2 linked regions of the Rattus norvegicus genome follow. The protein of the gene in region 2 purifies or fractionates together with the protein of the main gene of each other region. This does not show direct contact. Links are inferred from orthologs where the notes say so. Each region holds a gene or a part of one and is shown on either strand. Other genes may lie near its edges. The genes, in order: Tank and Tnip2.

The links.
Region 1: the proteins of Tnip2 (region 2) and Tank purify together in Homo sapiens (affinity purification with mass spectrometry; 3 studies listed by BioGRID and IntAct, with this or other methods). This does not show direct contact. The link is inferred for Rattus norvegicus from reciprocal best matches to the Homo sapiens genes TNIP2 and TANK.

Annotation. Positions count from the first base shown.
Region 1 is NC_086021.1:66,516,420-66,529,115, forward strand, and holds the start of Tank (TRAF family member-associated NF-kappa-B activator), read left to right. Parts: upstream 1-6,417; 5' UTR 6,418-6,573; intron 6,574-12,696.
Region 2 is NC_086032.1:80,446,945-80,459,813, forward strand, and holds the start of Tnip2 (TNFAIP3-interacting protein 2), read left to right. Parts: upstream 1-5,991; 5' UTR 5,992-6,055; coding exon 6,056-6,334; intron 6,335-12,869. UniProt on the Homo sapiens protein: Inhibits NF-kappa-B activation by blocking the interaction of RIPK1 with its downstream effector NEMO/IKBKG.

The sequences.
Region 1 (12,696 bases), on a different chromosome or scaffold from region 2:
CTCCCAGCGGCAGCATGCTATCAAGCTTAACAGTTTTCCAAGGTCAGCTCTCACAGCGAGTCTGACTGTTTTATTAGAGTCCTCGAAGCACCCAGAGTCATGGATTTTCCTGTCTCGGCAGCTTTCCTCTACATCTTACTGCTGTTGTACCTTAAAGATTGCAGACAGGCTAGCATGTGTTTTTTTTTTTTTATTCTCCTCATTTACAGAGAATTACAAGGATGAACTGCGAATCTTGCTAATCTTAGGCGCTCTGTAAGTACTGTTACCATGCTGTGTGTACTCAAATGGAAAATTATCAATGGCCTTCGGTATCTCGCAGCCATTTCAATTTTATGAATTTATCAATCCAAGAGAGTCATTTGCCAGGCATACGGATTTGTTCTCTGTCATTTTATAAACTCTGAAACTCTTTAATGGTAGCCAATATTTCTAGTTTATCCTGATATCTAAGCCCTTTCCTAGGCTTTTCAGCTTCAGAGGAAAATGCCTATGAGACACATTTCATTGGTGGTTCTCACTGACATCAGACAGGAATTCGAGAGCACACATCAAAATAAGAACATTACTTGGCTATAAACTAAATGGATTGGTGCCTTATGTCTTGAAAGAGATAGCAAACTATCTAATACTTGAAACAGACTTGCCTCCTTCCCTGATAGGATTCTGTCAACTTTCAAATTTTTAATGAAAACACCAGCAGTTCTTCCTCCCTGAAGACTGACCAAGCTGTCTGTAAGAGATTAGAAATGAAAGAAAAGTGGAAGAACAGAGAAATCGGAACGTACATTGCCAACTCCCTTAATGGCATTGCACCCTCCAAGGCAGCTCAGTTTTGCTAAACTGGCACTTGAGAAGAGTCCGTGAGCCTAATTTGCTCCTCCAGCTCTTAACCAGAGCATCCACACTGCATCACCCTCCGTTCCCATTACCTTTCTCTACCTTATCTAACTGTACTATGATCACACACCCATCCCATGGTCGAACCTGTAGGGAGAGAGTAGAGGTTGAGAGTGCTATATTCTCAGTTCATTCCTTCTTTTGTAAATGGAAGCTTCCAAATGGCATGAAGTAACCAGAAGTGGCAGAAAAAGAAATTTGAATTCCTTTCACCTCCCTTCCAATTCTGTGCCGCTGTTGAATGATGGCCTCCATGTTTAAGTGCACGACAGTAGACAAGTAGACCTTCCAGCTGTGCTACAAGATGCTTGTTAAAACCATGGGCTTTGGAGACACACATGAGGGCTTCCACACACCAGTAGTTTGCACTTAACTGGGCTAGCTCATTTTTATGCATCCATTTTTGTAACTGTAAAATAGCACTTTTACCCTGGGGTACTTAGAAAAATGAATGAAGTAATGTAAATAAAGGGCTTGAAATTGTGTCAGGGCCACAGTCATTTTGTTAAAGTCATTGTTAACTGAGGTTTTCATCCCCTTTCAATGTTCCCAAACAACCATCACTTGTCATGTATTTGATGTATCTGTACAAATGTGTTGCTTCCTGAAGTGAACATCTTATTTTCCAAATACAAAATTCTTTCCTTGTAGTAAACCAAATTTCTTTCCTAATCACTCCTATCCACTAGCCTGAGGCCTACCTTGAAGAATTTAATTGATATTTGAATATGATTGGGGTTATTTTTCTTCATATTCTCTAAGAAAAGCATTAACCTTTCCTGTAATTATGTATTTATGACATGGATGAGTATTTAATAGTTTATCTTTGGTCTCAAAGATCAGAAAGATGGGTCAGAACATAAGAATGTTGCTTCCTTTTTTCCTTAGGGAATTCCAAAGCCCTTATTAGTTTGGGGATAGTTTACCACCTCCACATTACCACCTATAGGAAAGCTCGTCAATTTTGTATGATTTCACATAAATTGAATCTTATCTTCCTAGGCACAAGCAATTTTTTTCCTATTGTTTCTGTGTATAGGATGGTAGGAACCAGTAACTAGATAATTTGTAATTGTTCCTATCAGTTCATTATATATCACAGCGTCTTTTGTTCCTTAGATAGCCAATAATATTAGTTGTCAAATAAATGAGGAAGGCCGAATGCTAGGGAGCTTACGACCCTGCTTTCATTGCCATTCTCAAAAAAATAAGCCTAAAGTACCTCTTAGCTGCTCAGTCGTGCACCTCAAATCTTTACTTTAAGAACTGCCAAGAATATTAAAATCATGTGCGCCATCAACATTATAAATGTTCTTCTATAATCCTAAAAGCAAGTGGAGATTATGTTTTAATCTGCTCGAAAAGCAATAAAAACAAGCAAAAGCCATAAATGTAGCCTAAAAGAAACAATAAATTCACTGAGATCATAGGAAAAACATATGAAATACAGTTTTAACCCTTAACTCGTTTACTTCTTCAACGCCTACTCTTCGTGAGTAGTTATTGGGCTGAGAACTGTCTCTTTGCCCATAAAGCACTATTATATTATGTAGTCATTTGGATATGAAGTATCCTCCATGCTCCCACACAAAAGACCTATGTGTTAAGAGCTTGCTCTCCAGATGGTGAGCATTTGAAAGTGACTGCAGCATACGGGTTCTCACTTCCTCAAAAGATGAGCTCACTGATGAATTCCTAGCTTAATGTTACATTATTAAGAGGTGGAACCTACTTGGGAAAAGTATGTTACTGTGTGCACTTTGTCCCTTCCTGGCTCTTGTCGGTGTCACTCTTTTCCCTCTGTGACATTGTACTCTTTGCAATGATGTCTTACCATACTATGCCAGCACCAGAAATAGTAGAATCAAGTAACCATGAAGTGAATTCTCTGAAGTCATGAGTCCACAGAAATTCTTCCTCCCTTAGCCCATGCTCTCAGGTGTCTGTCACAGTGACATAAAAACTGAGTAACACACCCGATTTTCATCTTCTTCAATGAGTTGAGTACATGGTCCTGCATTCCACTGAGATGGCTCAGTGTGTAAAGACACTTGTTCCCAAAGCCTGATAACCCGAGTTGAAGAAATAGGTAATAAATGTTTATTAAATAAGCACTCATATAAGGTTGTCTTAGGGATTTACTATTATAAAGAAACATCATGACCAAGGCTGGCTTATAGGTTCAGAGGTTCAGTTTATTATCATAAAGGTAGGAACATGGCAGTGTCCAGGCAGGCCTGGAGTTGAAGGAACTGAGAGTTCTATATCTTTGTCCAAAGACAGACAGGAGAAGTCTGGCTTCCAGGCAGCTAGGATAAGAGCTTAACGCCCCACAGTGACACACTTCCTCTAACAAGGCCACACCCTACTCTAACAAGACCACATCTCCAAATAGTGCCACTCTCTGGACCAAGCATATCCAAACTACCACAAATGTCAATCATTGAATTGGATTAGAGCTTAAATAGAAAAACTGTAGCTCCATCCTATTACCAAAAGCTTAGGGAACATCTCAGAAGAAGGTGGAAGGAATATGAGAGCAGACGGTGGAGGAAGGTGATGGGAAAGGTTCTTCTGGACACGATATGTTTGGCGCAATCATGGGAGCTCTGGTTACTTGTTCATACAGGGCTCTTACAAGATTTGGCTTGTCCATATTTCATCATGAAAGAGGGGAGGGCCAATGAGACCTTGCCCTTCCCTAAGGGACTAATGACAGTTAATGGTGGCTTTAGTGATGTAGTCACTGACAAGTTACCTGTCCTTCAGTAAAGAGTTTCCCTCCCAAGTTCATTCAGGCAACCCCATGGCACACACAAAACAAAGGCATAAAAGTAGAAGGTGGGTGAGTTAGGAAGAATAAGGGTTTCTGGAAGAGGGGGCATAAAACAGGCTAATAGCTTTTTCTAAGAACATACATGTATAGAACTGTCAAAGAATAAAAAAAATTTTTTGAAGAATTGTAAAAAGTGAATTTAGTTCCCTAGCTAGCTTCACTCCGTGTAGTCACCATCCATTCATGCTAGCCCCCAATTCTACTGAATGTGGATACCAAACCTAAGTATCACCACTAAGAAAGAAATATTTGGCAAAAACTTGTAATCAACTACTTTCCCCTGCACATGTTTATAGAAGCTGGGGGAATAAGTTTAAAATAAAAGAGCATGAATTTTCTCCTCAGAAATGGTAATTCACATCTCAGCGTCAGCTGCAGCCACAGATGAACAAAACCTTAGCACTTGCGCCTGTGAACAGGTAAAGGCAACAAAATGTTTCTACTCCCAGAAAGCCCATATCCGGGCATTCATCTTCCGGGTGCTGGTATGGTAACCTAAGTGACGTTTCTGAATGAAATATCTACTTCAGTACCACATGGCTGCCTAACTAGCTTCTTGGCCATATTTGCAAGTATCTGAGTCTCGCTGAATCTTAGTTAGCAGTTAGTAGAGCTTGCCTTTTATGTTTTCGGAGGAATAGGAAAAGATCAGTTGTAGCACATTCTCTATGGGGAGACCTTCCACACAGGCTTACAATGAGAATCCTACAATTAGAGTTGGTCCTGCTCTTAATAGTCAGCCAACACCTTGGCCATTTGTCTTTTTGAATCAAAACCTAAGCTTTTCTCCTACCCACCAACTTGAGCTTGCCGCCCCCTTCCCCCCTACCATCCCGGTCACTGTGCCCATCTATTCTTTTCCTACTGGGATTTCTATGAGAGGATAAAAATAGAGTCAGGGGCAGGAATGAACAAAGGACTCAATAGGGACAACAAGGGAAGCTATTACCTTGCTTGGAGTCTAAATTAGTCAGCAGTGTCTTCGGCTTTTAATGTCGCACGCGTAGACTTGACTGCTTCAAAATGCATCTCTAACCAAATCAAAAAACTTCTGCACCAGGGCCTGGAAAGCCCCTCTCAATGTCCCACCAGGTTGTGGCCAATATTCCAGGAATAGCCAGTTTTTCCGGAGTTTGGGCCCCAGCCAAACTCAATGGCCAAAGTAAATAATAAAAGGAGGAAGCCTAGGATGGAGAGGTGAAAAAATGAAGGTAGGTAGAGCGCTTGCCTAGGAAGCTCAAGGTCCTGGGTTTGGTCCTCGGTCCCGGAAAAAAAAGAAAAAAAAGAAAAAAGAAAAAAAAAATGAAGGCAGGGGAGTGTATTTCCCAGTCAATACGGGAGGGCTGTTTTAACAAAAAGCTGTGCGTTTAAAAGCTTGCTTCCCAACTGTCAACTCTCAAGGACTAAAATGTCCACACGCCAGTGCTATCTTAAGTTTTTGATGTTTCACTTCGTTGTATTTACTTTGTAAGATTTTAGTTTCCCGTTGCACGAAAGCATGTTTAGTATTTGATATTCCTCGGTGAGAGTGTGACAAGCACATAGAGCTGGAAGAAAACAAACGCTTCGCTGCGTATTTTACGAGCACATAGAAGAGTTTTTAAGCACATGCTTATTCAGCACTTTAGAAACTTAAAAAAAAATATTTTTGGGGAAGGAATAATTCCACCATATGCAGCATTATCTCTGATGTGTTTAAGATGCAATTTTAAGAGACAATAGTGCTTTAAAGTAGTAAAGGGACTAGACTATGAATCGGAAATTGGAAATTTTAGTTTCCATTAACTGGAGTTTTGGGAGATGCCTCCGCACACTTACGCGGGAACTCAGCAGGGAGACTACCCCCAGGACTCAATCTTGTTCCGACTCCTGAACTTGCTGTGAAGGAGCACAGTACAGTACGTATGAATTGCACCTGGAGACAGACCACTCCAAGTGCCCATTGCTTCTAACTTTGTGACATTGCGCACTCTCCCTCCTCTGTTTAATCATCTGCAATAAGGGGAAATGGAACAGATCGTGTCTAAGGACATTTCCATTTTTATAACAAAGAAAAATGTCCAGATATTGCTGTCTTCCATTTACATGTAAAGCCCACAGTTTAGTTCCATGCGGTCCGAGAGAAACACTCCCCCAGGGTGTGGGAACACGTGCTCAACTGTGTCAACAGTGACCTGCGTGTCAAACTAGAAATCCTGTCTAAAGAATCCTTTTTTGCTTTATTTTTCTTCCTAGTACTTACAGTCTCATTCTGGAATCTTAAGATACACCTTATTATTATTATTTTTTCTCTCTAGGCTTCATCCAACCGACCTTTGTAAGTCAGAAAGCAAAGAAAAATATACTTAAATTTAGGTTTTGCCTGTTATTTATAAATTTGATTTGGGGTCAAATGTGACTCCTTAAAGGCTAAAATGGCAATTTTTTTCAAATAAGCTTACTTTTGAAACGTTTTACATGAAAAACACTTCTTCCAAATTAAACTTTCATGTTTGTAATTTCTAGATTTTTTTTAAATGTCTTAACTATTCAGGTGAAATATCATTGCTTCAAAAGGAAGTCAGAGTTAGAGTCACGGGTGGTTTCAGAACATTTTCTGGTAGTTTTTGCTTCATTTCAATATTTTGCCATGATTGGCTGTTGATAGCTACAAATAAGGAAGTCTTCAAGTCAGGGGATTTCTCAGTGGAAGTCCCCAGTTCCTTCCACACAAGGGAGAGCTCAGGACAGTTTGGGCAGCATCTGGTAGAGCCTGTGCAAACGGTTTCCAGAATGTGTCCGTGCCTGTCTTTAAAGAGACACAGTCAGTGAAGGAAAACTTGTCACCTGGAGAAGAGGTAATCAACTCTTACTAATTTCTTTCGATTCTTAGCTTAGTAAGGAGGTTGGGGTGCCTTAAGTGTGGTAAGATCTACTCCACTCCGGCACCAGCCAACTAGGCGGTCCCAGGCACGAGTCAGCGATGCCTTTTGGCATCGTCGTCAGAATTAGAGGGATCCAAACAGTCTTTAAAGCACTGTGACTCTTTTACTCTTTGCCTAATTTTTAAGATAGAATGGGTTATGTCTTTAATTGAAATGAGTTTTAAAAGTCTTTATCTGATATGTGAGTCTTCTCAAGAAGTGATATACATGTGTGTGTGTGTATGATGTGTGTGTGTGTATGTATGTATGTATGTATGTATGTATGTATGTATTGTGAGACTGAGAGATATTTGGCCCAAGTTAGGTTACATAAAGCTTACTATGTCGAAAGTAAATTAAAAGTATATATAGTCCTACTTTTTGCTTATATTTAAGAAAAATCAATTCCAGCCTGATCGAATGTGTCTTTCTAAATGCCAAACTAGCATTAGTACTTTTACTCTCATAAGAACTATGTAATAATGAACATGTATGACATCAAGTATTAGCTTTACAAGCTATTCTAATTACAGTAATCAAAGCTTATGCTGTTTCCAACAGACCCTTTTATTTCCATCACCACAATTAAAATTGAAGATCACATCACATTATTTTCTCAAGGACAATTTCAAACTAAATATCAAGAACTCTTTTCAGTGTTGTTGTATTAAATAGTTTCTAGACACTCAATAAGAGTGTCTGCTAAAAGAAAAGGATCACATGTTTTCAGTGGTATAGTCAGACAAGACTTACTTAAATAAAAAGTCATACCATTTCATTTTACCTGGCTTTTTATCACTAACCCACCTGTCTTCTTACGATACTGAAACTGTGTTTGAGATGTTTTACCCAAGCTGGAGTAGGATGGGGAAGAGAGAAAACAAATTCATCTGAGTTACAGAATAATCACGTCATCACTGGAAACCGTCTCCCTTCTCACTCGTCCTCTGCCATCGCTAGGGTTACAGTTCCGTGAGTGTACATAGCAAGAAATACTAGTCTGCCTCTGGGAATGTGGAACTCTGTATCAGCTCAACACACTCAAAACGTATGCCCAGAAGCCAACTGGGGTTCTAGAGAAATGTCCAGTTATTTCTCTTAAACGTTTGTGATTTATGGTTACCAAGATGACTCAAAACAACTGTTAAATTCCCCTGGGGAAAAAATTCTGGTTGGAATTTTAGAAATGTGTCCGTGCCATTTAAAACCTTCCTGTCTGTGAACATCCTGTCTTTCTATGCATTGAGGATGGGACTCCGGTAAACATATGGAGTCCTTTGCATTATACATTATACATATAAATTGTAGAACGTGTTCCAGGCTAGTTTGCTTTGTCCCTTTCTGATGTGTGCACTAGGGGAATTATCTGTGTAAGGATCTTCTTTCTGGTGTGTTTTAACTACTGCTAACATCTTGATCTCATAATTTTATGTAGTCATTTTATTGATCTCTAATTTTTTCTAAATTATATAATTCACATGACCTTTTCAGATTAAAAAGAAAAATATGTGGACTTGCTTCCTCCTTCCCATCCTTCAGCATAGCAGCTAGAATTTCTGGATCAGGGCTTCATAACACAGGAAAAAGCAGTCGACTGTTACATTTCTGATCTCAGAGGAATTTCCCTAGTGGTTAATATGAAGAATGAGATTGGCTATTGGTTTGAGGTAAAAGCTTTCATGATTAAAAAAAGAAGCCCAAATAATTACCAATATCCTGATTTATTAGGGGTACATTTAATAGGCAATATCAAAGTTTCATGTTTAAAAAAATCCAATGTCTTTGATAACTTTAGAGACAACTGTGTGAGTTTGGCATTTCAAACGAGGCAGCAATCTGCCGTTTTAAAAGACTTCGAAGAAAACAGGTTGCCCTTGTGTTTCCCTGACAGAGCTGATTTTATAGTTAGAAACTGTACTCCATTGTTTCTCAGATTAAAATAATAAACTGGTTGATCAAACCGAGCCTACACATTTCCTATTTCTCTTCCATCCACATGCTTAGACGCCTCTCTCCTATCATTTTGGCTTCATATCCAGTTTACAGCTCAAACTACCAGGAAAGAATGAAAACAGTGTGGTGGAAGCCAAGGAGCCCTATCTAGGGCGAGCACCCAGAGTTACAAAAAAGCAGCTGTTCGTACGCTCCCTGCAAACAGCTTTCGAACATTACATCCAAAGAGGGTCTGCAAAATGTGTGTCCAAATTGGTTAGCATAAATGCAGTTTACATTAAGGAAGTGTATACCGAAAAGCAAACGTTTGTGGTTTGCTGAGAATTTTTGCATTCATAGACAGAAGGCAAATTTCATCCAGATTTTCATCTCATGGCACCTATCAGTAAGGAATTTGTCTACCAAAGTTTCCTTTCAGAAAGTAAAACAAGGAAAAGGCCAAAACACTTCAAATTCTAACAAGTTTCATGCATGTGGTCTGTTCCCTGAAACGTTTAAGGAATAAACCCAGAGCATCGACCTCGGCATCCCAGCCCCAACAGATAGTTCATTAAAACATTTTCCCAGTATTTTCTACTGTTGTTGATCAGAGCAAATTTAATGCCCCCCTTTTTACATAGTTTAGGTTTTGTCTGAAAACAATTATTTTTTTTAAAGATTTATTTATTTATTTCTAAGTACACTGTTGCTGTCTTCAGACACATCAGAAGAGGGCAGTGTATCCCATTACAGATGGTTGTGAGCCACCATGTTGTTGCTGGGAATTGAACTCAGGACCTCTGGAAGAGCAGTCAGTGCTCTTAACCACTGAGCCATCTCTCCAGCCCGAAAACAATTATTTTTAAAAACAATTCTGTTCAATTTTTTTCAAACGCATTGATGCACACAATATTGACCTACACTTTTTAAAAATAATTTCTGTAACTGTATAGATAATCCTTTCGGTGCTCACTTTTTTTTTTCTATTTGTATTTTCTCTCTCTCTCTTTCTTGATTGGTCATATCACGGAACTAATCCCTTGGATGTGACATTTTAACTTAGCTTCTTACAGAACAGCTTTTGGTCTTATCTTTACTAATATTTTCATGATATTTTAAAGATTTCTTTTTTACTCTTCCTAGTTACTGGTTTGAGTGTTTAGGTTATATATATTTTTAATTCTTTACCATTTTCTAATAATATTTTTAAGGCTATAGAAGGTTTAGGACCACTTTAACTACATCTGATAAATAGTTATATGTCACTATCACATTAGCATAGCTTCATAGTTCTAGCGAGGCTGTGTGGCTTGGCTTTGGGGTGTGCATGGGTGGAGGTGAGGAGAGCTAAGGACTGACCCCAGATTCTCATAAGAACTCAGTAGGTAACTTTACAGGTTTTAACTGCAGTTTTACTCTCTCTTTAATCGTGAAGCTATTTAGGTCAGTAAAATTATTTTAGAACAATTTTAGATTTAGAAAAAAAATCAGGCAGGAACCATGATAGACAATATATGTATTATAGACACTATACATATTACATTTTATATATTATAGACAATATATGTATGTGTGGCTGTGTGTGATCCTACTTCCTACCTTTAAACCAGAGTCACCGCTGTTGACATCTCTATTAGCATAAGTAAAACAAATCTAGATCTTTTTATTTTATTGAGTCTTTAAACATTTTTTATTATTTATTCTGCCTATCTCTCCTCTAGTGTCTGTTAGACCCTTTCCCCTGATGATTTGTTTGTCTTTTTCTAGTTCTTTGGAGTATGCAGGGTTTCACTTTATTCTACCTGTCTCTGGTTCTCTAGCAATGGAATTACAAGAGCCCCATCACCATGCCCTCTTACTTGTTTTCACTGGCTCTGGAGATCATCTTGGGTTCCCAGTCTTGTAAGGAAGTGCTTTATCAGCAGAGCTAGCTCCCCACCCTAGGCTCCCCTTCCTTCCCCTTCCTTCCCCTTCTTTTCTTCTCTTCTCTTTTCTTTTCTTTTTTTCCTTCCTTCCTTCCTTCCTTTCTTTCTTACTTTTTTAAAATCACATTTATGTATTTACTGGGTGTGGTGATCAGAGGCACCTAGAGGGTGTCAGCTTTTTCCTTCTACCTTGCTTGTGATCAGGCTGGTGATGAGCGCCTTCATAGCCACTGAGCTGTCTCATCACCCTCGGGTTTTCTTTTCAACACAGATGTCAATTGGTATTAGTGTTCCATGAAGCACTTTTAAAAACTATGTGAGCCTTCATGTGCTGCAGTTTTGCTTTCATTAACCTTCTAACAAAATCTTCTTTCTTTTGTGATTTCTGTTCTGGCTCAAGAACGTGTCAGTTTTCAAAAATTTATGTCTCTTCCAGTTTTCCTTCGATTATTGACTTCCAGCTTCTTTCCATCTTGGCTGGGAAAAGATTTCATATGACTTCTGTTTTCTGCCGTACGGTGAGACTTTGGAAGGAGCAGTATTTGCTCTATCCAGGAGAAGAGTCCTCGTCCACTCGCAGAGACTGTCTTCTGCTTCCTTTTGGCACAGTGCTCTGTTTACACCGCTTTGGCCCAGTTGGCTCACAGTACTGTTTCAGTTGCCGTTCCCCTCTGGTCCATTTTTCTACTTATCATCAAATGTGGCATAATGCAATCTCCAAGGACTACTGTAGTCTGTTTCTCTTTTCAATGTTATAAATGTTCTTCTCAATTTCTCTAGGGCTCTCTTTGCTGTTCATATGTACAATTGTTATATCTTCTTGGTGAATGATTCTTAATATGTGTGTATGTGGATATGCATATATATGTGTGTGTATGTATATATGTATATATATATATATTATTATTTGTCTCCTATGGAATGTTTTTACTCGACATATATTCTGTCTAATATTAGTACAGTCACCCATATTTCATTCGATTACTCAGAAATATTTTTCAAATTTTATTATTATTATTATTATTATATTTTTTGTGTTTGCACACAATGTGTACATGTGTGTGTGTGTGTGTGTGTGTGTGTGTGTGTGTGTGTGTGTGTGTGTAAGCATTCCCATGTGTGAATTCATGTGCATACACATCATGGTGCATCTATGGAGGTCAGAGGACGCCCTCAAATGCCAGTGGCTCTCACCTTCTTCCATTTTTGAGGAAGGTGTTCATAGTTTTGTTTTATTTGTTTCCCACTGCATAGGCCAAGTTACTGGACCCCCAAGCCCAGGGATTTTCCTGTCTCTGTCTCCCATCTCCTCATAAAGGTGTTGATATTATAGACATTTGCTATAGCATCTGGCTTTATATAGTTCTGAGGATTCAAACTTGAATCCTCATACTCACATGGCAAACTCTTCAGACACACCAGCAGAGGGCATCAGATCCCATTACAGATGGTTGTGAGCCACCATGTGGTTGCTGGGAATTGAACGCAGGGCCTCTGGAAGCACAGTCAATGCTGCTAACCAATGAGCCATCTCTCCAGCCCTGGCAAACTCTTTATACGTTGAGCCATCTCTCCTGTCCACGTCTTTCACTTTTACCTCTGTGTGCCTTTTTATCTAAAGTGTCTTCTAGATAACATAGTTTGATCGTTCAATTATGTTAGATTTTCCATTGGCCAAGCTCTGTCTTTTATCTATTTTTGAAGTAATCACTAATAAGACTTCTTCCACTTACTACTCAATGAATGTATTTCTTATAAAATATTTCTTTTTTAAAAGTCCAAAGTAAAAAATATCCAGGCTTAAGAGTAGATGAATCATCATGTCACTTAAAAAAAAACAAAATAAAACAAAACAAAAACAAAAAACCTCAATGAACTACTTTTTTCACCATGTCACAGCCTTATTCCATAATCACTTTCAATAATTCAAGTGATATTATATTTAGAAATGAAGTCAAACATAAAAGTGAATGGCTAACAAAGTTACAAAAAGCTATAAAGTTACAAAATAAGCCAAATGCATTTAATCAAGAGTAACAGACAACAAGAAGCCTTATCAGTCTAAGGCAAGGCAAGAAGTCGAGGCTGCTCAGATCTGATAGGTCGACACTGAGGAATTTGTAAAATAAATAGAAATAACATCTCTGACTTACTGGCAAAGAAAAGCCTAGATATTGCCTATCAACATTCTTATAGTGAA
Region 2 (12,869 bases):
GTCTAGAAGAGGGGCACAGGCTCTGGGTATACACACCTCCACTGTCAGAATAGTATGCATGTGTGTATGTGTGTTCATGTGTGCATGTGTATGCTCATGTGTGTATGTGTGTATGCATGTGTGTAGTGTGTGCTCATGTGTGTATGTGTGTATGCGTGTGTGTACGTGTGTGCACGTGTGTGTATGTGTGCATGTGTGTATATGTGTATGCATGTGTGTGTATATGTGTGTATGTGTGTATATGTGTGTTCATGTGTGTATGTGTGTGCTTATGTGTGTACATGTGTGTTTATGTGTGTATGTGTGTGCTTATGTGTGTACACGTGTATGTGTGTACATGTGTATGCATGTGTGTGCATGTGTCTGTTCATGTGTGTATGTGTGTATGCATGTGTGTGTGTGTGTGTGTGTGTGTGTGTATGTATGTATACATACTCTTCCCCTGAGGAAGCAGAGGGCAGAACTGCCAAGTATGGTGCTGTAACTAGTGTTCCATGAATAGCACTTGTCCCGTTCCCACGTACAGTGCCTCAGCTGTGTGGGGGAGAAAAGCTGTGTGTATGGAAGTGAAACCAGAAAGCAGTCCATGCTGCTAGTCACACTAAGAGAAAAAAGAGCACCCCAAATTCTTATTCAATGCAACCTGGGAAAAGAAAAATAAACCTGCTGTCTTCAAGCCTTGTCTTAGCATAGTTTATGGATAAATGGAACAAAGGCATCTCTAGTTCAAGGTTGTTCCTCTGGAAGGGGGTGGGCCTTGTCTCTCTGACTTTTTTTTTTGTTTGATACTGTCTTTCTGTACAGTGGAAACGGAGGGTTCTTGTTCACTAAGGCCATTGAGTCTTACATTGAGTCCTCCCATTTGGATGACCTCTAGAATTCAGAACAATAATCCTTATCGGTGTGTATGTGCTGAACTGTTCACGAAGCCTATGGAGTACAGATGCTGTCTCGCACTTGCTAACGCTTACCATCTGCAAGACTTTCCCTTAATGCTTGGAGCCAATTCCAAAGAAGAGCCTGGGCCTGCCCTGAGAGCAGTGAGATTGTTGAGTTAGAGGAGGCGCTTTGGGACAACAGTAGCCAGAGCCCCAGAAATAAGCAGGCATCGGGACGCACAGGTGCCTCTCACTCAGTGACCAGAGACTGGGGCACCTAGGTCTCAGGGAAGAGTCACCGCTAGTCAGACACTCAGGCTCAATCAGATGTGCAGGCCTACTAGAGTAGATGGGGTTGGTGCCTGAAGTTCTGGTCCCCAAGCCTTTGTGGCCACACTGCCCCCTTGTGGACATTTGGAAGGCCCTCCTACCTGTGAAGGCCTCAGGTGTCAGTCAGCGCTAGTGTTAGAGCATTGTATGTACATAGCTTTGGTGTGATGGCATCAGGCCAGTCACCAACCTCACTGACCACAGACTCACATATGAGCCTTCCCCCTCATTAGGGAGGCCTCTGCTTCTTACACAGCTTCCTTTTGGGCTAAGCTGGCCCTTGAGATCTCAAGATCTCAGAACAGGACTGAGGTGTCAGCATTCAAAATGAAGCAGGAGAGAATTAGGAAAAGTTGCAGACTCCAAAGGGACCTGTATCAGAGGAAGAGGCCTTCGGGGAATCAGACCGACAATCGTCTGTCAGTAAATTAAGCCGGAGTTAGGCCTGCTCCACAGGATCACTGGAAACTCACGGCCTATGGGGACTCAGAATGAGAATCCGTCTCTGAGACACTGAGATCACCCCACACTTGGATGTCCCCAGGACATTGTATCCCTTTCTTGGGAACCCAAGTACCAGGCTCCTCCTCATTCTGTACATTGCAAAGACAGCCCCCTCCCCACACATACAAACAAACACCCTTGCCATTAAGTACAGACTGGCCTCAAACTTATGATCCTCCTGCCTCAGTGTCTTGAATTCTGGGATCATAAATCTGCACGGTAGCTCATCCAATCACCCTCTCTAAGGTGAAACATTCTCCATTCCTTTTCCTGGCCCCCACATATTCCCCCCATCCTTTTCTTATTATATTAGTTATTTTTCTTGTTGTTGATGCAAAATACCTAAAAAAAAATAATAACCCAAAAAACAAAAAATAAAAACAAACCAACTGGGGGGTGGGGTGGGATGGAGGCTTTTGGAGAGGAAACTGGGAAGGGGATAACATTTGAAATGTAAATAAACAAAATAACCAATTAAAAGAGTAAACAACAACAAGTCAAACCAACTTAAGGGAGGAAGGGCTTGTTTGGGCTCCTGGTTTGAGGGGTCACAATCCGTCAGAAGGAGAAGGTGTGAGAGCTGGAACAGGAGGCCACATCTCAGGAAGCCAAGGGAAACGATCAGTGGTCCACAGCTCCCTCCCTCCTCATTCAGCCTGTTCCCAGCACATGGAAGATGCTGCCCACATTTAGGATGGGTCTCCTTTCCTCAGTTAATCCTCCCTGGAAACCTCGTGGGCATGCCCCGGGTGTGTCCAGTTAGTGTTGGTTATTAACCAACGAGCTTGTACAAAGTTCCCCCACCTCTTAGGCTGGGCGTCTGTCTCCACTGTTAGAATACTCATCTGTAACTCTCTGGGCCTAAGCCCTGTAGTTGAATTTCAGCTGAAGACACAAGGATGCTGGCCACTTCCTGTGTTACGTTGCAGACTCTTTTTTTTTTTTTTTCTTTTTTTTCGGAGCTGGGGACCGAACCCAGGGCCTTGCGCTTCCTAGGCAAGCGCTCTACCACTGAGCTAAATCCCCAACCCCTACGTTGCAGACTCTTAACCATGCCACAGAAGGTAGTGTCCTTAGAGGTCTGGAAATCTCTCATCTACAGTTCTAAAGTCCCAAAAAGCTCAGAAACCCAAAGCATTTTTCTTAAAGCTGATACAATAGCTGACTCGAATCCTGTCTTACTTAATTTGACTAGACATTCCCTCTGTAGTTCAGGAAGTAAAAAAAACAAAAAACCAAAAACCAAAACTGACATGTTTTGTGGGTCTTAGAGATGCCCCAGTGGGAGTGCTAAATTGTATGTCAATTGTTGATGTTCTGTTGAGACAAAGAATTTCAAGTGTGGCTGGAGATAGTAGCTCTAACTATAATCTCAGAGCTCAGGAGGCTGAGGCAGAAAGATTATCATGAGTTTGAGGCTACTCTGGTTTACAAAGCGAGTTCCAGGTTGGTCTATGGAGTGAGATTCGATCCAAGCATGGGGCCGGAGAGATGGCTCAGTGGTTAAGAGCACTGACTGCTCTTCCAGAGTTCAAGTCCCAGCAACCACATGGTGGCTCACAACCATCTGTAATGGGATCTGATGCCCTCCTCTGGTGTGTCTGAAGACAGCTACAGTATATTTATATATAATAAATAAATAGATCCTAAAAAAAAAAAAAGACACAAGCATGGTGGCACATACCTTTAATCCTAGCACTTGGGAGACAGAGGCAGGTAGATATCCGTTAGTTCCAGAGCAGCCTGATCTTCATAGAGAATTCTAGGCTAGCCAGGGCTACAAAGTGAGATGCTGTCTCAAAACCAAAGCAGAAGAGAACAAAAAATAAAGAACAAATCAGAAAGGTCTTCAAGGGGGCTGAGCTAGCCCGGTGATGTACAAGCAGATAGCCTGAGAGTCTGATTTTGGACTCACAGCACCCACGTAAAAGCAAGTGTGATTACACACATCTATGATCCTATCGTGGGGGCTGTGGTTGGATGGAGACAGGTGGATCCCTGGAACTTGCTACCAATCAATGTAGCCAATCTGTGAGCTCTGGGTTTAGTGAGAGACCCTGTCTCAGGAAGGTGAAGAGAGACAGTGGAAGACACTTGACATCAACCTTTGACTTCTACACACATACATCCACGTGTGTGTGCTATATATACATACACACATATTAAACACATACATACATGTATATTACATGTATGCTCATATACATATTATACACATGCACATATGTTACACACACACACACACACACACACACACACACACTTTAAAAGACTCCCAAGTGTTAGCATCTTGAAGCAATATCACCCGTCTGTTACTTTTCAGTTTGTCAGGAACCTCGGAGTGCACGGTTATAGAGGCTAAGTACTCCCTGTTGTGTGGGGCCTGCCCATATGTACAGATATTGGCAACAGGACTTCTTTTGTTGTTGTTGTTTGTGTTTTGAGACAGGGTTTCCTTGTGTAGCCCTGGCTATCCTGGAACTTGCTCTGTAGACCAGGCTGGCCTCAAACTCAGAGATCTGCCTGCCTCTGCCTCTGAGTGCTGGGATCGAAAGTGTGTGCCATCAAGAGTACTCCTTTTTAGAGGAAGGTTCTCTCAGTTATGTGCACCTCTGTAAATCAACGCTTTTGAACTTCAAACACTTGTGACACAGGAGCATTTGAATAAGTTTCTTTGTTGTTTGATGTCTATTTTGCGGTTAGTTCACAACGAGGCTCAAAAGCACTTGAGTGACCTACCCTAGGCTACACACGGCAGTAAGTGAACAGTTAAAGCCACATATCCACTCAGGGCCAGGGTCTTCTGTGTGGTACCCCCCCCCCTTCTCTTTCATCCCACAACTGCCTTGGTCAGTCAAGATGCACCCTGCATGGCCACAGCAATGGTTGTGCTGGACAATCGTCTAATATGTGGAAGTTTGAATGAGAGCAGCTCCCATAGGTTCCTGTTTGGATACTTGGTCCCCAATTAGGGACTCATGTAAGGTTGGGAAGGATTTAAAAGTATGGCCTTTCAGTGGTAGAGCGCTTGCCTAGCAAGTGCAAGGCCCTGGGTTCGGTCCCCAGCTCCGGAAAAAAAAAAAAAAAAAAAAAGGTATGGCCTTGTTGGAAGAGCCATGTCACTTGGGCAGAGAGATTTTGAGACTTCAGCATGCTCTCTGCCTCCTGCTTGGGGATCAAGATATGAGCTCTCAGCTTTAAACATCTGACCCTTAATCCCACTTAAATGCTTCTATAAACTGCCTTGGTCCTGGCATTTTGTCACAGTAATAGAAAAAAAAATACACACCTATTCTCTAGTGTGATAACACCCCTACCAGGTAGGGAAGGCAGCAGCTGCGATGCATCGCTTCTGACTGGAGTTTTGGCTCTGAAGGCTAAGAAGGAGCTGAACATAAGTGAGCCAGGTCCGTGACTCCTAGTATCCATCCTATAAATTCTTGGTGAGGTCTGGCTTTGCATATAGTTTGATACTTGCAAGGGAGTGTGTTCCTGCAGGTTCAACCAGAGCTTGGCTGTGAGCAGACAGGATACTGAGAAGGAGACTGAGCAGAGAAGAAACACATCCTCACCTAGGGAGAGGACTTCCATGAGATCTTAGCAAGGAGCCTTTGAAAGATCTTCACGGAGGAGAGACTTCCCAGAGGAAAAATAGGGTTTGTATGGAAGCTGTGGGAAGGGAAGGGCCAGCGCCCTCCTGTCTTCTGCTTGAAGAACAGTTTCTAGCGCTAAGGCCATCCTAACTCGAATTTAGGGGCATGCTGGCGTTTGGTGGCTGGCTCTGGGGTCCACCATGTACTGTGAGCTCAGTGTCCCTGTATGAAGAAACACAAGTCAAGTCCCTGAAGAGGAAGGAGCCCCGCCAATGAAACCTGACCACACTTCATGTCCAATGTCTGAAGTCCTTGGATTTATTTGCTTTTCTTCAGCTGCTGTACCAGAGGATACCTAACCCCAAACCCTGGTCACAGATGGGATCTGACTCCAGGAAAATACCTCAGACGCAGGGAATAGGGCCGTGGTGACAAGTCTAAGACTGTGGGGCAGACAGCACCTAGAAGGGAGCTGGCACGTCAAGAGAAAGTGAGATCATCGAGAGAGAGGGGCGGTGACAGCTGTGGGCGGGGGCGGAGTCAGACTCCCAGCGGAGGGCGAGGCGGAGCCAGCTGTGTGCGGGGGCGGAGTCAGACTCTGGGCAGAGGGCGAGGCGGAGCCAGCTGTAGGTGGAAGCGGATTAGGCTCAGGGAGTGGGCGGGGCGGGAAAAGTTCCGGGAAGGCTGGTTATCGCTCCCGCAGCCTAGAGAAGTTGGAGACGCCCAAGTCCCCACGGAAGGCCCACAGCTATGTCGTCTGGGGACGCAAGGTCTGGTAGACAGGACGAGGCCCCGAGCGCGGCCTCAGCGCTCTGTGGCCTGTACCACGAGGCAGGCCAGCAACTACAGCTCCTGAAGGATCAGCTGGCTGCGCGTGACGCCCTTATCGCGAGCCTCCGCACCCGCCTCGCGGCTCTGGAAGGGCACACGGCACCATCACTTGTGGACGCACTTCTGGATCAGGTGGAGCGCTTCCGTGAGCAGCTGCGGCGACAGGAGGATGGTGCCTCGGAGTCCCAACTGCGGCAGGTGCGGGGAGGGCAAGAGCTGTTGCCCAAGGTGGCCTAGGGAGCTTGTTGGAGAGTGTGACACTGAGTCCAGAGGTGCGCGAGGTCTTGAGGGTCCCGAGGGTATGAGGCTCGAGGTGCGGGTCTGAAGAGCTCGAGGTCTGGAGCATGGTGGTTTAAGGGGTGCGCTGGGGTTTGAAAGGAGCTGAGTTATAAGGGACACGAGATCCTGAGGCAAGTGGGTCCTAAGGAGCTCTGGGTCCTGAGGTTTCAGGGTCTGAAGGGCGTGGGGATCTGAGGCGCAGGGAATCCTGAGGGATTGGGGTCTGAAGGCGAGAGTCTGGGTAGTTCAGGATACTGAGCACTTCGAGATTCATTCGTAGGCCGGAGAGTTAGGCAGAGTTGAGCAGGAGTCTCTGGGGCACAGGGTTCTGGTGAGCACCAGGGTGGCAGAAGTGTGACGTTTGAGGAGTACCAAGTCCTGACATTCTGTTGAGGTTATGAGCAGTTCTGAGGAACATGTGATGGAGGTTAATTTGGGACAGACCCCCTGGGTCTCTCGACTTTGGGGGTGCTGCTGTGGGAAACTTGCTCATGAAATTCCATGGGGGCAGAGGTCTGAGGAATGTGAGGGATCCGAGAGTGCAGGGATCTGTGGGGCATAATGTTCTGAGGTAGCCTTGAACACATGGTTCTGTTGGTAGTGAGCTTCTCCAATATGTGCTCTGGGTCCCAAAGGGGTGTGTAGCGGCTTTAATCACTGCTTATTACTTTGAAGAGACATCATGACCAAGGGCAACTCTTATAATAGAAAGCATTTAATTGGGCGCTGGCTTACAGTTTCAGAGAGTTAGTTCATTATCATCATGGTGGGGAGTGTGGCAGCATGCAGACAGGCTTGGTGCTGAAGAAGTAGCTGAGAGCTACATCCTGATCCACAGTCAGAGAGAGACACAGGGCCTGGTGTGGGCTTTTGAGACCTCAAAGCCCATCTCCAGTGACATAGTTCCTCCAAGGCCACATGTCTCAATCCTTCTCAAATAGTGCTACTTCTGGATGATGAAAAATGCAAGTATCTGAACCTGGCGCTTTCTTATTCAAGCCACACCAGTGGGGCACCAGGATTGACGAAGATGGAGTTCTGGGAGGGGTGGTGTTCAGGGTTCTGTAGGTAGGGTTCTGAGGGACAGACACTAGAGGCTCTAAAGGACATGAGTGAGGCATGGGGTCAAGAGGGTCTCAAGGACATCCTGACAGGCATTGCTCTTTGAGGAATGTGTACAGGTTCCATTGTGTTTGTGTTGGCTCTGAGGGGGCAGTGCAGGTCTTGGTTCTTGTGTTCTGTGAAGGGAGGTCTTCTGTGGAATGTGAGTTTCTGAATCCTGTGCGGAGTGCCAGGAACCTGAGAGATGCATAGGGTTCTGAAGACTGGGACTCTGAGAGAAAAGACCCACGTTTTTGGTTGGTATTTGGTGTTATATTTAGTATTATATTGGTGTTTGGTTGGTATTTGGTGTTATATTTAGTATTATATTGGGATTTGGTTGGTATTTGGTATTATATTGGAAGAAGCAGCAGATGCCAATCTGAGAATATGTAAATTCTTACTTGGTTCTCCTTGTCATTTGTTATTACTTGGTTCCACAAGCACACAAAACTGAAATGCGTGATAACACTTTCCTGTAGCAGTCGCCTCTATCTGACTACCTTGCCCCACATTTGGAGGAATGCTGGCATGTTATTCCATTTGGTCCATGGCTATCTTGGTTTTCCCCCATGGACAGTAAGCCTGACAGGGGAGCAGCTGGTAAAAGATAATATTGTTTCCAAGATTACCACTGCAACTAGATTTCTTTTTCCTTTTCTTGTTTTCCTCCCATCCCTACACCAGTTGTACTAGGGATTGAAGCTAGAGCCCAGGCAAGTAAGTGCTGTACCATTGAGCTGCACACATCTCTGGTTATTTTCTTGCTTTTTACCCAAACTGGTCTTGAACTCACTGTGAATCTCAGGCAGGCAATGAATTTGGATCCGCCCTGCCTCAGTCTTCCAGGTAGATGGTATTACAGGCTTTTGCCACCAGGCCTGGCCACAACAAAATTCTAGAGGGGGGAAAAAAAGAACGTATTTTTTTCCTGATGGTAAACTTTAGAATACGTGAAAAACGAATCCCACATGCTTTGTGTGTGGTTCTTACCTGCGTTTCCTTTGCGGAGATAGATACGTGGTCCTGTTGGGTTCACGTTTTTCTGTACAATTTTACTTTATATCGTGTTGTCATTGTTTTCTATCTGTATCATTTAAAGCACCAAGAGCAAACGGAAGTCTCCCCACTCCAAGTCTCTCTTTCTGGAAGGAGGGTTGCAAAACATCAGAGCAGAGAGAAAAGTAGAGGCTACTTGGTCTGGGCCACTAACTTAGTGTTGTGACATCAGGAGCCACAGTGAGTACAGAGCGTCAACCTGAAGGCACTTCAGAATTTGTCACCAGAATATCAGTGGGAACAGTTAGGGTAAGGGAACTCTCCATACTCACAACAGAACTACACGTGCAGTCTGGTAGCCACTGGTGCTCAGTGCAGATGGATCTACACCCAGCAACTGGCACTTGTTTATAGCTCTCTAGAGGCTCCAGACAGAACCAGTCGATGGTCCCAGTATTAACGGTTCTACGTCCACTGGCATACAGATTTTGTTCTGGGATTTTAAGAACTATTTGCAATTTTATTTAGGGAATTTTGTTAACAGTGTGGTGACTAAATATTACAAAACCATGTGTGGACTGAGGAGTCTGCCAAAACAAATTGACTGACTATATTAGTAGTAGAAATATGTGTCAAAAATTACCCTGTTAAAATAACTACTCTGTTCACTTTAATTTCAGTGTTGCTTCTTTCTATGATGTAGCTTCCTTGGTTATGTGGTTTGCAGAGGTGTGCACAGGATAAGGCTTATGTAATTAGTATAATTTATTAGTTATTAATGTAATATATTTTATGCCTACATACTAATAACTGTCTTAGTTACTTTTCTATGGCTGTGGAGAGATACTATGACCCAGGCAAGTTACAAAAGAAAGCATTCAATCGGGGGCCTGTTTACAGTTTCAGGGAGTGAGTCCATGACCATTATGGGTGCAGCAGGCAGGTGTCCTGCTGAGAGGTAGCTGAGGCCTTACATCTGATCCACAGGAGGCAGAGAAAGAGATGGGGCTTGGTGAAGGGGATAAAGGCACTCGCCCACCCCCAGTGACTGGCACACATTTTCCAGCAAGGCCAGACCTCCCATTCCTTCACAAACAGTTCCACCAACTGGGAATTAAACATTTAAATACATGAGCCCATGGAGGCCATTCTCATTTGAACCACCCCAGTAACTAATGTAACACATTCCCTGACGACAGATCTGTGTAAGCACAATTTTAGTAAATGTCAAAGGGATTATGTGCTTGTCAACTCAGTGCAAATACAGAAGGACTTTAAAACAACTTATCATTTTCTTACCTCTTTTTTTAAAGATCTATTTATTTATTATATATAAGTACACTGTAGTTGTCTTCAGATGCACCAGAAGAGGACATCAGACCTCATTACACATGGTTGTGAGGCACCATGTGGTTGCTGGGATTTGAACTCAGGACCTCTGGAAGAGCAGTCAGTGCTCTTAACCACTGAGCCATCTCTCCAGCCCACTTTCTTACCTCTTGTCATTAAATTCTACTAGTGAATGCAACATTGTTATGTTTTAAATCCTTTGATTTTCATCTGTAATGAGAGGAAAAGAACAACTGGCTTTAATTTTGAAAGCAAATACTGTGGGGCTAGAAAGATGACTCTCATGGTGTGGTGGTGTACATACCCTAATCCCAGCATTTGGGAGACGGGGCAGGCAGATCTCTGAGTCTGAAGATAGGTAGGGCTGCCCAAAGGAACCCTGTCTTGGAAAAAAAAATCCCCCAACCAACCAACCAACCAACCAACCAACCAACCAACCAACCAACCAGTGCACAGTACCCTTGATTCACAGCATCAAGGGGTTTACAAGTGCCTGTTACTCCAGCCCCAAGGACCCAGCATCCTCTTCTGGCCTCTGTAATAATCCACCAACAAATGCATAGTAATATGCAGACACCTAAAATGAAAGTTTGGCACCAGGCGTAGTGCTGAACAGCTTTGCACAGTGGCACACGCCTTTAATCCCACCACTAGAAGGCAGAGGCAGGTAGATCTCTGAGAGTTTGAGGCCAGTCTGGTCTACATAGTGAGTTCTAGCCAGAGCTACATAGTGAGACCCTATTTCAAAAAGTCAAGTAAAATCTAAGAGAATAAAAGAAATAGTGTTGGCAAGATGGTCCAACACTCGAAGGCCACTAAGCCTGCTGATGAAAGCTTGATCCCCAGAACTCATGTGGTAGAAGGAGAGACAGAGTCCTGCAAGTTGACCTCTATATGCATGCCCAGTCATGCAGGCTTTTGCGTACACACACACACAGACTCACACACAAAGGAGCAAGATATTAATGACATTTTTGTGGATATAAAACTGACAGAAGAGATTAAACTAAAAATGAACAGCATGTGTTGAAGGTGATTTGAAGAGGATCAGGAGGAGCAGAGGATGTCTCCGGTGGTACAAGCCAAGGGCCCACACCTGGTAATGGCATTTTCAGGATCCCAGCTTGGCCAAGGGAGTGTACATTCAAGGAAAATGTGTAATTTTTTTCCATCTTTATTAACTTGGGTATTTCTTTTCTTTTTTTTTTTTTTTTTTTTTGGAGCTGGGGACCGAACCCAGGGCCTTGCGCTTGCTAGGCAAGTGCTCTACCACTGAGCTAAATCCCCAACCCCAACTTGGGTATTTCTTATTTACATTTCAAATGTTATTCCCTTTCCCAGTCTCCAGGCCAACATCCCCCTAGCCCTTCCCACTCCCCTTCTATATGGGTGTTTCCCTCCCCATCCTCCCCCCATTACTGCCCTCCCCCAAGAATCCCACTCACTGGGGGGTCCAGCCTTGGCAGGACCAAGGGCTTCCCCTTCCACTGGTGCCCTTACTAGGCTATTCATTGCTACCTATGCAGTTGGAGCCCAGGGTCAGTCCATGTATAGTCTTTGGGTAATGGCTTAGTCCCTGGAAGCTCTGGTTGGTTGGCATTGGAAAGGCAGAGGCAGGTGGATCTCTGTGAGTTCTAGGCCAGACTGGTCTACAGAGTAAGATCCTGTCAAAGAAACAAACCCAACTACAGTAGAAAGCAAATGGTTGGTTAGCTTGCTTTCTCTGATGGCCATATCCACCATCTCTAGAAACAGGGACCCTAGACCAGAAGAGACTGATGGCTCCCACAGAGAATACTGCAGACTAGGTATGTGGAGGAATTGAGAGGTTCATCTTTGACAGACACTAGCCAGTATGTCCAGATGAGGCCATAAATGTGTCCTCATGGTGTCCTGGAGTGGCACTTGGGACCCTACCTCACGTGCAACTTGAGGCCTGGATGAATGATTTTGCAAACTTCTTCCAGATAAGATTTTCTGGGGCTGGGGATTTAGCTCAGTGGTAGAGCGCTTACCTAGGAAGCGCAAGGCCCTGGGTTCGGTCCCCAGCTCCGAAAAAAAGAACCGGAAAGAAAAAAAAAAAGATTTTCTGGGTTAATGGTGCTATTCACCATGTGGCCTGTGGCTATACAACTGTATCCCGTTACCCTGGAGACCGGCCTCCTAGGTCCTGCCTAGTCCTGGCATCCGCAGTCCTTTGCTTGCAATTTTTCTCTTCCTCGCTTGCTACACTTTATAGAGCAGTGGTCCTTAACCTGTAGATCATGGCCCCTTTGTCAAGCCTCTTTGATTCATGACAGTAGCAAAATTACAATGACGAAGTAGCAACAAAAGATAATTTTTTTTTCCTTTTCTTTTTTTCGGAGCTGGGGACCGAACCCAGGGCCTTGCGCTTGCTAGGCAAGCACTCTACCACTGAGCTAAATCCCCAACCCCAACAAAAGATAATTTTATGATAGGGGATCACCACAACGTGAGGAGCTGTATTGAAGGGTCACAGCGTAAGGAAGGTTGAGAACCATTGGCTTAGAGTAAAAGACTTTGTCTCAAAACAATCAACAAATGAGAATTACCAAACAGTACATGTTTTTATGACAATAAAAATCCAGGGGCTGGTGAGATGGCTCAGTGGGCAGAAAGTGCTTTCTGAACAAGCTTATTGATATCTGGCACCCAGGATGAAGGGAAAGAATCAACTCCTCAGAGTCGTCCTCTGACTTCTGTATGTGCACCACACCACGAACACACACACACACATGCAAGTACAATAATAAAGTTATAAAGAGAAATAATTGAAGTTTGTCTTTACAGCGTGGTGAGTCTGTGTCTTCATTTGCAGAGTGGATTGGTTGAGGCTATCTCATCTCATCATGTTCTGTTTATGCTTGAGGAGTCTTTGAAAATAGGAAAGCACAAATTTAAGGCCAGGTCGTTAAAAATGGTCATTTTGGCCAGGCTAAGGGTGCAGGTACTCCTAGCACTCAGGAGGCTAAGCTTTCGCTCA